Danio rerio: one gene and its partners. The protein of the gene in region 3 binds, or shares a complex with, the protein of the main gene of each other region. Links are inferred from orthologs where the notes say so. Each region holds a gene or a part of one and is shown on either strand. Other genes may lie near its edges.

Region 1 (3,657 bases), on a different chromosome or scaffold from region 3:
ACATTGTAGTGCATGATTTGTCTAAAATTGTTAGTGGCTAGTGAAAATATTGGAGAAGTAATCATTTGAAAATGTTAATACTTGCAGAGATTTATGGAAGTGTTGCATATTGATATTACTTAGTTTCCTACCTTGTTAAATCATTGTTGACAACTATTGTGAGAAATCATTACCATGATCAGTGTCTTCATGGAGGACTTAACCAGACAGCTTGTATTGCTGTTAGATGCTGTAATCTTACTGTTAAAAACATTTCTGTGTTTTTCCCACAGGCTGGATCAAGAACTGGACTTTATCCTTTCCCAGCAGAAAGAGCTGGAGGATCTTCTTAGTCCGTTAGAGGAGTCCGTGAAGGAGCAAAGTGGAACCATATACATGCAGAATGCAGATGAAGAACGAGAAAGAACGTAAGAACATAAACTGGCAGATGTCTGGCCACTTTTACCCGGCTGTGTTTTCATTTTAACATAATGTTTGTTTTAAAATGAAAACAATCAGTGTCAGATTGGCTTTTTCATGAGATTTCAGAAAAGATCTTCATCCACACTAAATTAACCAACTAAAAACACATGGCAGAAGCTAAAATTAGATCTAAAATTGTAATACAATATTGTAGCCTATATACAATCATATTCACTACAAATTGTAAATCATTTTAAACACATAGTTTTAAAGCGCATTAAGAGAAAAAATTCAGGTTTAATTAGCAGTAACCCTTAAAGTTAACTGTATTAAGAAGAACCCTCTAAATAATCTGAAAATATACTAACTCTTATTGTAGTAAAAGATTGTATTTATAGTTATAAAATTAAATTTAAATTAAAGTATTCATTACAAACAACATTTGCATATTATGAAATTCTGTCAAGCGAAAAATGCACATTTAAGTTGGCAGTAATTAATATTATTATTATTATAAATAACAGGGTAATAATCTAAAAACTACAAAAATGTATTGTCATATACAATTAAAACAAACAAATTAAAACAATATTTACTAGTCTAGTTTGTATAGTAGGCACAAACATGTGCCCGGATAAACACTCACCGGCCACTTTATTAGGTATACTTGTCCAACTGTTCAATAACTCAAATTTCTAATCAACTAAACACATGGCAGCAACTCAATGCATTTAGGCATTTAGACATGGTCAAGGTGATCTGCTGCAGTTTAAATCAAGCATCAGAATGGGGAAGAAAGGGGATTTTAGTGACTTTGAATGTGACATGGTTGTTGGTGCCAGACAGGCTGTTCTGAGTATTCCAGAAGCTGCTGATCTACTGAGATTTTCATGGACAACCATCTTCAGGGTTTCATAAAATGGTCCAAAAAAGAGAAAATATCCAGTGAGCAGCAGTTCTGTGGGCACAAATGCCTTGTTGAAGCTTATACAAAGGCAACAGCAACTCAAATAACCACTCTTTACAACCGAGGTATGGAGAAGAGCATCTCTGAACACACAACACGTTGAACTTTGAGGCAGATGGGCTACAGCAGCGGAAGACCACACTGGTTGCCTCTCCTGTCAGCAAAGAACGGGAAAGGCTACAATTCACTCACCAAAATTGGACAACAAAAGATTAGAAAATCGTTGCCTGGTCTGATGAGTCTCAATTTTTGCTGCAACATTCAAATGGTAGGGTCAGAATTTGGTGTCAACAACATGAAAACATCGATTCATCCTGCATTGTATGAACGATTCAGGCTGCTGGTGGTGTAAAGGTGTGGGGGACATTTTCTTGACACACTTTGAGCCCATTAGTAAAAATTTAGGCATCGTGTCAACGCCACAGGCTCCCTGAGTATTGTTGCTGACCATGTCCTTCCTTTTATGACCACAGTGTACCCATCTTCTGATGGTTACTTCCAGCAGGATAACACGGCATGTCATAAAGTGTGAATCATCTCAGACTGGTTTCTTGAACATGACATTGAGGTCAATGTGTTCAATGTACTCAAATGGCCTCCACAATTACCAGCTCTCAATCCAGTAGAACACCTTTGGGATGTGGTGGAACAAGAGAATTGCATCATGGATGTGCAGCTGACAAATCTGCAGCAACTGCATGATGCTATCATGTCAATATGGACCAAATTCTCTGAGGAATATTTCCAGGACCTTGTTGAATCTATGCTACTAAGGATTACAGCAGTTTTAAAGGCAAAAAGGGGGCCAGTCCACTACTAGTAAGGTATACCTTATAAAGTGGCCGGTGGTTGTGTTTAAAGCTAAACTAACCTCTCATTTGAGATTTATATATTTGTTTTAAAAGGTTTAGCAAACCAAATATTTTAATAGAAAAGAAGCTTTTAATTATATATACTGGTAAATGTAAAACATTTAAACTATATTGGGATTTACTTTTAAATGTTTGTACACACAGTAAAAAAAACCATGTTGATATTTTAAAATTTTCTACAGAATCTACTTTATTGATTTTAAACCACTTCCTTGAACTTGAGGCTTATCACATAAAGTTTAACTCGCCCTCAGGGTCTTGAATTGATATTTAATTGAAATCCAGAAGACCTAATTAGGGAGTGAATGTAAACAGCTTCATTGTCATAAGTTCCGATCTGTCTACATGTACTCTGGAGTTATGTGGATGCCAGACATAATCAAAACAAAAGTTTAAATGAACAAAAAAAGTGTAAATGTAGTGTCAATCAACCCTGTCAGAAGCTCACGTTTTCTTCAAATACTAATAATCTTTTATCCAGGTACAAGTTGGCTGAAAATGTGGATGCTCAACTCAAAAGAATGTCCCAAGATCTAAAAGAGATTATTGAACACCTCAACACCTCCAGTGGACCCGCTGACACTGCTGACCCGGTATGCACAATATAATCTATATTTGTAAAAAATCAATGCTGTTACCTGGACCAAGACTGACTTGTGGTGTCTTTTTTTTCCAGCTTCAGCAGATCTGCAAAATTCTCAATGCACACATGGACTCCTTACAATGGGTGGAGCAAAATTCAGGTCAGTATCCACTTAAATTCGATACATATTTCGCTACACAGTCTTTTTTGGAATGTTTCATTGAATCCTTTGCATACATTTTGCTTATGTGCAGTTTTACTTCAGAGGCGAGTGGAGGAGGTCTCAAAGTTGTGTGAGAGCCGCAGCAAGGAGCAAGAGAAGAGCTTTCGTTTAAACTTCCAGTGATCATGCATAATCATGTTGTTTTTTCTTCAGTCAGATGTAATGAACGTCTTTGTTTTTGATATTTGCTTCAAAATAAAATTAGCTTGGTTTCCTCTTAGTTTATGTATTTGTATTGATTGTCAATTCTCCAAAATCTGGAGTCATTTTAAAGATCTAAAACGAACAAATCTACAGAGCAAGGCTTTTCTTTTCCTGCTTTACGGTTATGGGATGAAACGAGCCAATCAGCTGGATGGAGCTCCACCATAGCAACATGGATCCTGGCATTGTTTAATATCAAGCATTCCTGCGACTACGTCGAGCAAATAAAAAATAAACGTATATACAAGCAGTTGCGAGCATTACTTTTAGAGAAAGCTGCAGGTATATGAAGGCGACGAGATGACCACCGACATCTGCAGGTATGTGCACTACTGAGGATGCGACTGCATGCACGAGGACGCATGTACCGGAGAACACGGGATCCTTCCCTGCACATGCATGTTGT
Region 2 (3,657 bases), on a different chromosome or scaffold from region 3:
TAAACATTAAAAAAAAAATTATGACTAAACTGACTATTTACGACTATTATTTATGACTAAATCTAACAATTATGAATTATTAAAATGTGTTATGAGTTTCAACATTCTATTCAAGTTTCAAAATTTCAACTGAAAGTATTAGTTGACCCAAAAATCTAAATTCCGTTATTAATTACTCATCCTCATGTCATTCCAGTCTCCACCCTTTAATCATTTTTGAAGAACAAGTTAAGATTCATTCATTTTCTTTTCGCCTTAGTCCCTTTATTAATCTGGTCTCGCCACAGCGGAATAAATTATCCAGCATATGTTTTTTGCAGCGAATGCCCTTCCAGCTGCAACCCCTCACTGGAAAACATCCATACACACACAATTACACACATACACTACGGGCAATTTAGCTTACCGAATTCACCTATACAATATGTCTTTGGACTTGTGGGGGAAACCGAAGCACCTTGAGCAAACCCACGTGAACACGAGGAGAACATGCAAACTCCATACAGAATCGCCAACTGACCCAGCCGGGGCTCGAACCAGCGACCTTCTTGCTGTTAGGCGATCGTGCTATCCACTGACGCCCTACAAATTGAGATATTTTAGATTAAATAAAAGAGCGGTCTGAAGCTCCATTTACAGCAAAGGTTGTGCAATGTTTAAAGTCCAGAAATGGAAGCAAAAACATACAAATCATGCAAAGATATGGGGAATACAAAATCTAATACTAATACGTCATATTGCACCATGCACCCTAATGACCAGACCAGAGAAGACACTGGCTAACAAAGTTGTGTTTACAGTTTTGTGACACACAACAGTGTTCTTGGATCTTCATATGATTACAGTTGAAGCATTAAAGTCATATGGAGTGTTAGACAATGTTTTTGACTCCTTTTCTGGACTTTCAACATTGCTGTCTATGGAAGATGAAGGAGCTCTCGGATTTAATCTCAAATCTGTTTGTATTTATATTGCACTATTTTTACTTTCTACCTTCCAATGGAGAGTTATATCTTCCAGTCATGACTTTATATCACCCAATAGTGACTTTGTGTCTTCCAGTTGCTATATCCCGTTTTCAATAGTGACTTAACATCTTACTAAAATTCTTCCAGTTTGGAAGACTTTTGTTCGTCTCCCCGTTGCTATTTTGTATCACCCAAGAGCAACTTTGTATTGACCATATTCTTCACATATGAGCGGGTGCTGCCATTGGAATGTTTTTGGCTCAAGACTTCCGGTTTCATTCACTTCTGTAGATTTTTAGATGTTAATAACAGCTTGTTATGCTGCTTAATGTTGCAAACTGATTTTTTCATTTTATATTATTTTACTTTGTGATGCAGTGGGTAGTGTTGTCGCCTCACAGCAAGAACGTCGCTGGTTCGAGCCTCGGCTGGTTCAGTTGGCATTTCTGTGTGGAGTTTGCATGTTCTCCCCTTTTCACGTGGGTTTTCTCTGGGTGCTCCGGTTGCCCCCACAGTCCAAAAACATGCGGTACAGGTGAATTGGGTAGGCTAAATTGTCCTTAGTGTATGAATGTGAATGAGAGCGTTAAAACGTGCTGGATAAGTTGGAGGTTCATTCCGCTGTGGCGACCCCGGATTAATAAAGGGACACTATGCCGAAAAGAAAATGAATGAATTATTTTACTTTTTATGTTTAGTCATGAACACATTTGTTTTGTAGAGCAAGCAGTTTGATAGTTTTCTGCCGTTTATTATTCCTAGTCATTTCTCCCATAGGCAAATGAATCGAAGCTCTAAAACAATAGCATAAATAAGTTGGAAAAAAAGAAAAAAATTACACTTTTGTATTGCAGAAGGTGGTCAATATTGTATTTGCAACTGTATACCTCCAGTAGTGACTTTATGTCTCCCAGTAGCTACTATATATCTCCCATTTGCTGTCATTTATATCTTCTAATAGTGACCTTTGTATCTCCCAGTTGTGACTTTACATTTCCCGTTTGCAACTGTTTGTATCTCTCTATTGTGGCTATCACTACTGTGACTTCTACATTATATCTCTTAGTTGTCTCTTAATAGTTAAAAGTTGTGACTTTGTATCTTCAAGCAGCTTATGCAGTATATTTCTCTTTAATGACTTTACATCTTTTGTATAAATTGCAATTTAATATCACTCAATTGAAAATCTTCCAATTGTGACTCCAAATCTCTCAGTTGTTTCAACTTCTTCACTATTGCCTTTTTATTTATCAGCGTTGCATACATGTCTCTGTTAAAGCTTTATGTCTTTCAGCTTTCTCCCAAGTGCAACTTTGTCGTCCAGTTACGGCTTTGTTTTCTTCTAAACAAATTTGTCTCTCTTTCACCTCAAATCTTTCTTTTGGGGAATTTTGTTTGGCCTCATTTGTAAGCCTCTTTGGAATAAATTAAATGTAAATGTGATTGTGATTTACATCTTTATATTATGCTTTGCGACTTCTCTTATTTAAAGCAATATCTCGCAATTACCTTTTTACCCCGAGGTAAACTAGTCATCATTTTAAAAAAGTTACATCGTGTGGATTTTTTTGAGTGTTTAGGCTGTAGTTACATTAAAGCCCAATGGTATCTTGTATTTGTTTGCTAACAGGTACCGTGCTAATGGTGTAGCTGGAGAGAAGTCAGTGGACAACACCTTCTACCTTTTGCTGGACCTCATGACGTTCTTTGATGAGTATCATGCCGGACACATTGACCGAGCCTATGATGTAAGTCACCATTAAAGGTCCTGTAAAGTGCTTTGTAATGTGCATTTTAATTCATGAAGAGAGGGTGGGACAGTGTAGCTCCTCCTCTTAAAAAAAAAACAGCCAATAGTGTTCCCATACTGATAAACTTCTGGTGACCTGTTATTGTGAGTTTTTTCCATTTTATACGGTTCCTTTCACAGCATCGATGTTGTAATGTAATTCAAATACAATCAGTTAAACAGACTTAGGCATTCATTTAGTTGCTCAAGCCTAAAACGAGACAAAAAGCTGTTTACTCGCATGCGCCCGTCAGAATCGGCAGGCGAGCGCAGAAGCTCCATTGAATATATTGAGGTAAAATAAATGCTCATATTATAAAGACATGGCAGGGAAAATGTAATTTAATGCAGTGTTTCTTGTACAATCTGAGACCTACTTTATATCGGATTTCATTCACCCTGTGGAGATCGCTGATTTGTAAAGAAAACAGACTTAAAATGCTCCGATTTTGTCGGCGCAATAGCCTAGTGGTTAGCGTGCCGACATATGGTGCAATAGCACGTCAGGGGGTCGCGAGTTCGAATCTCGGCTCGACGACATTTCCCTACCAACCCACCCTCTTTCTCTCCCACCTCGCTTCCTGTCTCAATGCTGTCCTATCTAATAAAGGCAAAAAAAAAAACGCACCGATTTTGCATTGGCATACAGTTCACCGGAATCGCTTAACCCAGGTTACTTGCAAACTAAAAGTCCTATTAGGATGCTTCAGCATATACCCTTTTAAAAGCAAATGAGAAGGTATTAAAGGGGGTGGGGCATGTCAGACACTAGAGATCATTTAAATAGTCATGATATGATGAGAACTAAAGTATTACATCAGGTTTGAATCTTGATATGAATTTTGTCACTGTTTTGGAACATAATGGCTAATAGATATCTTATAAACCAACAATACTGAT
Region 3 (3,657 bases):
ATAGGGAGTCTTACCACCTCGACCGCTGCTTCCACTGGCTTCAGTTTGGGCTTTGGAAAGCCAGCGGCCTCAGCTACACCTTTCTCTCTAACCACCACCACCGCCTCTGCACCTGCGGCAACAGGCCTCTCTCTGGGATCCGTCCTCACCTCCACAGTTCCTCAGACCAGCTCCACTGGCTTTTCCCTCAACTTAGGAGCAGCAGCAGCCACTTCCTCTGCTCCTGCATCAGGTTTCTCCTTTGGATCAAGTCTTTTCTCCAACCCCACTCTTACAGGTCAGCCTTTTTTTCCTTTGTGATAGTTGAATTCATTTTAACTTGTCATTAATTTATGCATGGATTAACTAGTGATTAATTGACTTGTGTTTTTGCTTATTTTAATGTGTGTTTCAGGTTTGGGACAGTCCACTTTAGGTGGACCTTTGAGTCTGGGCGGTTTAGTCTCTACCTCTGTCGCAACCACCTCAGCTCCTGCTCCCAGTCTCGGCCTGGGTGGAGTAGACTTCAGTACTTCCTCTGAAAAGAACACAGACAAGTTGTCCAGCACCAGACCTGAGTAAGAACCACACCACTGTTACCTCTGACTCGTTAGTGTTTATTGTATTTGTTCTTACTCTTATGTTAATGTCTACAGGGACAGTAAAGCCCTTAAAGATGAAAACCTGCCAGCTCCGATCTGTCAAGATGTGGACAATTTTCAGTAAGTGAACAACTTTCAGCATTAGGGTGGAGCAGTAACCTGTGAAGCTAATTCATTACTAGACAAAATTAGGTCTTGCCCATATTAAGGGGTGTGCAATATTTATCATCAACAATAATAGTTGTTATTTTAATTTGCAAGCTGACATGGGGTCAAAAAAATACATTCACATTTTTAGAATTAATTATCATTTATTGTGTGATGAAGCTAATTAACTGCTGTGAATGACACTATAATTCAATTAGTGAAAACCAAAAAATACCCCTATATAGTTATTGGGTTTTTAATGGCATGTTGTAATGGCGTACAAGCCAGAATTGCCATTTTCAGGAACATCCAACGCATGAGCTTGAACAAAAATGTTAAGTCAATTTTATTCAGTAGTTAAGCAGAAAAATATGCTAATTAGGCATGGAATGATTATCGGTTTCAAGGTTTAGAGCAGTTTGGGAAAAGTCAAGGTTTTAAAACCACAAAAATTTTATGTTATACCATTCCTATGGTATATGAAAGTTTTTTTTTTTTTAGTTTTTTTTTTAGCATGTTTGTTATGACACCCTACTGGTCAGCTTATTGATTCAGCAAACATCTGAAAAACAAATCTTTTATAAACCAACATCTAAGTATGCTATAGACCTGAACACTGCAGTGGCTTACTGTACTGTTAGGGCTTGGCGATATGGCAAAAATGCAGTCTTGATAATTGTTTTCCATATTGAACAATAGCGATATATATTTCGATACAAGTTGTTAATGCTTCCAGATTTAAGAGAGTACCCCAACAATGACTGAAGCTGCAAAACTAGAGGGTCCATTAAATGGCATAATTTTTCAGCCAATACATTTTCGGTGTGCAAAAATTCGTTACATCTCTAATATCAACACACTTTTAGATTCCCATTGTTCCATGTTTCTGCTGTGTGATTGGCTCTTAGATCAATATAGAGTAAAAAGTCCAGAACTTATTGTTATGGACAATTTATCACGATTCGATAAAATATCGATTATCTGCCCATAGCTACTTATTGTATATGCAAAGAACAGAAGTCAATAATTTATTTTAATTATTTAGCCTAACATGTTTCCTGTTCAAAATATTTGAAATGTTTCTTAAAATACAATATATTGTTCAATAAGGGAAATGTGTGTTTTTTTTTTCACCCATACAGATAAAAAAAGGCATTTTGTAGAGCAGTAATCACGATACCGTGAAACCATGATATTTTTATCCAAGGTTGTCATACTGTCAAAATCTTACACCGACCCTTTCCTTAATGATAATATTGAGTTACTTTACAGACACAATATTAAATCCTTTTTTTCAGTCTTGCCAATAAAGGGTGGATATAATCAAAGCCATAGAAGAACCCTTGTGCGTCTCATTTGTTTTTAAACAAAAATTTGAGTCAGTGATTTAATGATTGGCTGCATCACAAACACTGTAGTTGGTGAAAAGCAGTATTTGACAAAGAATTATGTTAGAATCGAAAAGATTGTGATAAATATACTAGTGACACCTTTGTTAATGAAGAAAATCCAGGTTATGTTCAAATTTGTTCCTACTCTTCTATTGTTTTTTTTTTGTGGTTACAAAGTGATTATCCAAAATAATTATATAATCCATGTGCAAATTAATTAAAATGTGAATGTATCAGATGTCTTTTTTTTGTCTTTGACTAACTACGTGCCTGATTTTACCATAGGAAATTTGTCAAGGAACAGAAGCAAGTCCAGGAGGAGATTAGCAGAATGTCCTCTAAACCCATTCTCAAAGTTCAAGAGGACATCAAGATGCTCAGACAGCTCCTGTCCGTCTGTGCCAGCGGGCTGCAGAGAAATTCCCTCTCCATAGATAAATTAAAGCTGGAAACTTCTCAGGTAAGACCAAACATGTCTTTTGGACCATCTTCATTACTTCCCAGAGTATTGTTCAGTCTTGTAATCTGTCTTTTTTTTCATTCAGGAATTGAAAAATGCTGATATTGCGCTTCGCACCCAGAAGACCCCGCCTGGACTCCAACATGAAAACACAGCACCATCAGAGTGAGTGTGAACTTGTGCGCTATTACTTCCATTTAAAGCAGTTAGTAATTGATGGCACTAATGTGCACTCCATCTTTCCTTCCAGCTATTTCCGGGCACTGGTGGAGCAGTTTGAGGTGCAGTTACAGCAGTACCGTCAGCAGATTGAAGAACTGGAGAATCATCTGACCACTCAGGGCAGTGGCTCCCACATCACCCCTCAAGGTTTGTTATACCAGACTGAACAAAGCACTGTCATGTGTTAGCTCTGATATCCACTTAACTTTATGATATCCTCTGTCATGTAGATTTGTCGATGGCTATGCAGAAGCTATACCAGACATTTGTTGCGCTTGCTGCTCAGTTGCAGGGAGTTCATGAGAATGTTAAAGTAAGTTTTGAACTCATTTTTTGTTGCATTGTAAATGTTGTTGTTTTTTAATCCGTTATTAATGAGATTATAAATGAGAGTCAAATTAGGCATTGGCTGGTATAAGATTCTGACGGTATGATAATCTTGGATAAAAATATCACGGTGTTCAGCAGAACAAAAAAGTTCAACTGAATTTGAACAATAAATGCATTCGAGTATATTTTAATGCACTAAATCTTTAAATCAGGGGTGGCCAAACTTCGCCCTGGAGGGCCGGTGTCCTACAGATTACAGATACACCTGTAAAGATGTTTCTAGAAAGCTTTATAAGAGCTTGATTACCTAACCCAGGTGTGTCTGATTGGGGTTGGAACTGAACTTTGCAGGACACCGGCTCTCCAGGACTGAGTTTCGACACCCCATTTTAAATGATAAATATTTCTGACCTCAGTTTAAATGAACTGATGCATTAAGCACAATACATAAAAATTTCTTTATAAAATTAAGGAAAGTTTTATAAACAAATTTTGAGAGGATCACATGCTATGATTGACCACAGCT

What was found. The genes of interacting proteins can lie anywhere in the genome.
Region 1: nup58 (region 3) and nup62l share a complex: the UniProt entries of both Homo sapiens proteins name them as parts of the p62 complex. The link is inferred for Danio rerio from reciprocal best matches to the Homo sapiens genes NUP58 and NUP62.
Region 2: nup58 (region 3) and nup93 share a complex: the UniProt entries of both Homo sapiens proteins name them as parts of the p62 complex. The link is inferred for Danio rerio from reciprocal best matches to the Homo sapiens genes NUP58 and NUP93.

The regions. Positions count from the first base shown.
Region 1 is NC_133189.1:11,218,772-11,222,428, forward strand, and holds the end of nup62l (nucleoporin 62 like), read left to right. Parts: intron 1-272; coding exon 273-407; intron 408-2,722; coding exon 2,723-2,834; intron 2,835-2,917; coding exon 2,918-2,984; intron 2,985-3,078; coding exon 3,079-3,170; 3' UTR 3,171-3,267; downstream 3,268-3,657. UniProt on the Homo sapiens protein: Essential component of the nuclear pore complex. The N-terminal is probably involved in nucleocytoplasmic transport.
Region 2 is NC_133193.1:18,957,453-18,961,109, forward strand, and holds part of nup93 (nuclear pore complex protein Nup93), read left to right. Parts: intron 1-2,598; coding exon 2,599-2,716; intron 2,717-3,657. UniProt on the Homo sapiens protein: Plays a role in the nuclear pore complex (NPC) assembly and/or maintenance. May anchor nucleoporins, but not NUP153 and TPR, to the NPC. During renal development, regulates podocyte migration and proliferation through SMAD4 signaling.
Region 3 is NC_133199.1:28,984,818-28,988,474, reverse strand, and holds part of nup58 (nucleoporin p58/p45), read left to right. Parts: intron 1-4; coding exon 5-277; intron 278-394; coding exon 395-557; intron 558-635; coding exon 636-701; intron 702-2,404; coding exon 2,405-2,579; intron 2,580-2,664; coding exon 2,665-2,744; intron 2,745-2,829; coding exon 2,830-2,948; intron 2,949-3,031; coding exon 3,032-3,114; intron 3,115-3,657. UniProt on the Homo sapiens protein: Component of the nuclear pore complex, a complex required for the trafficking across the nuclear membrane.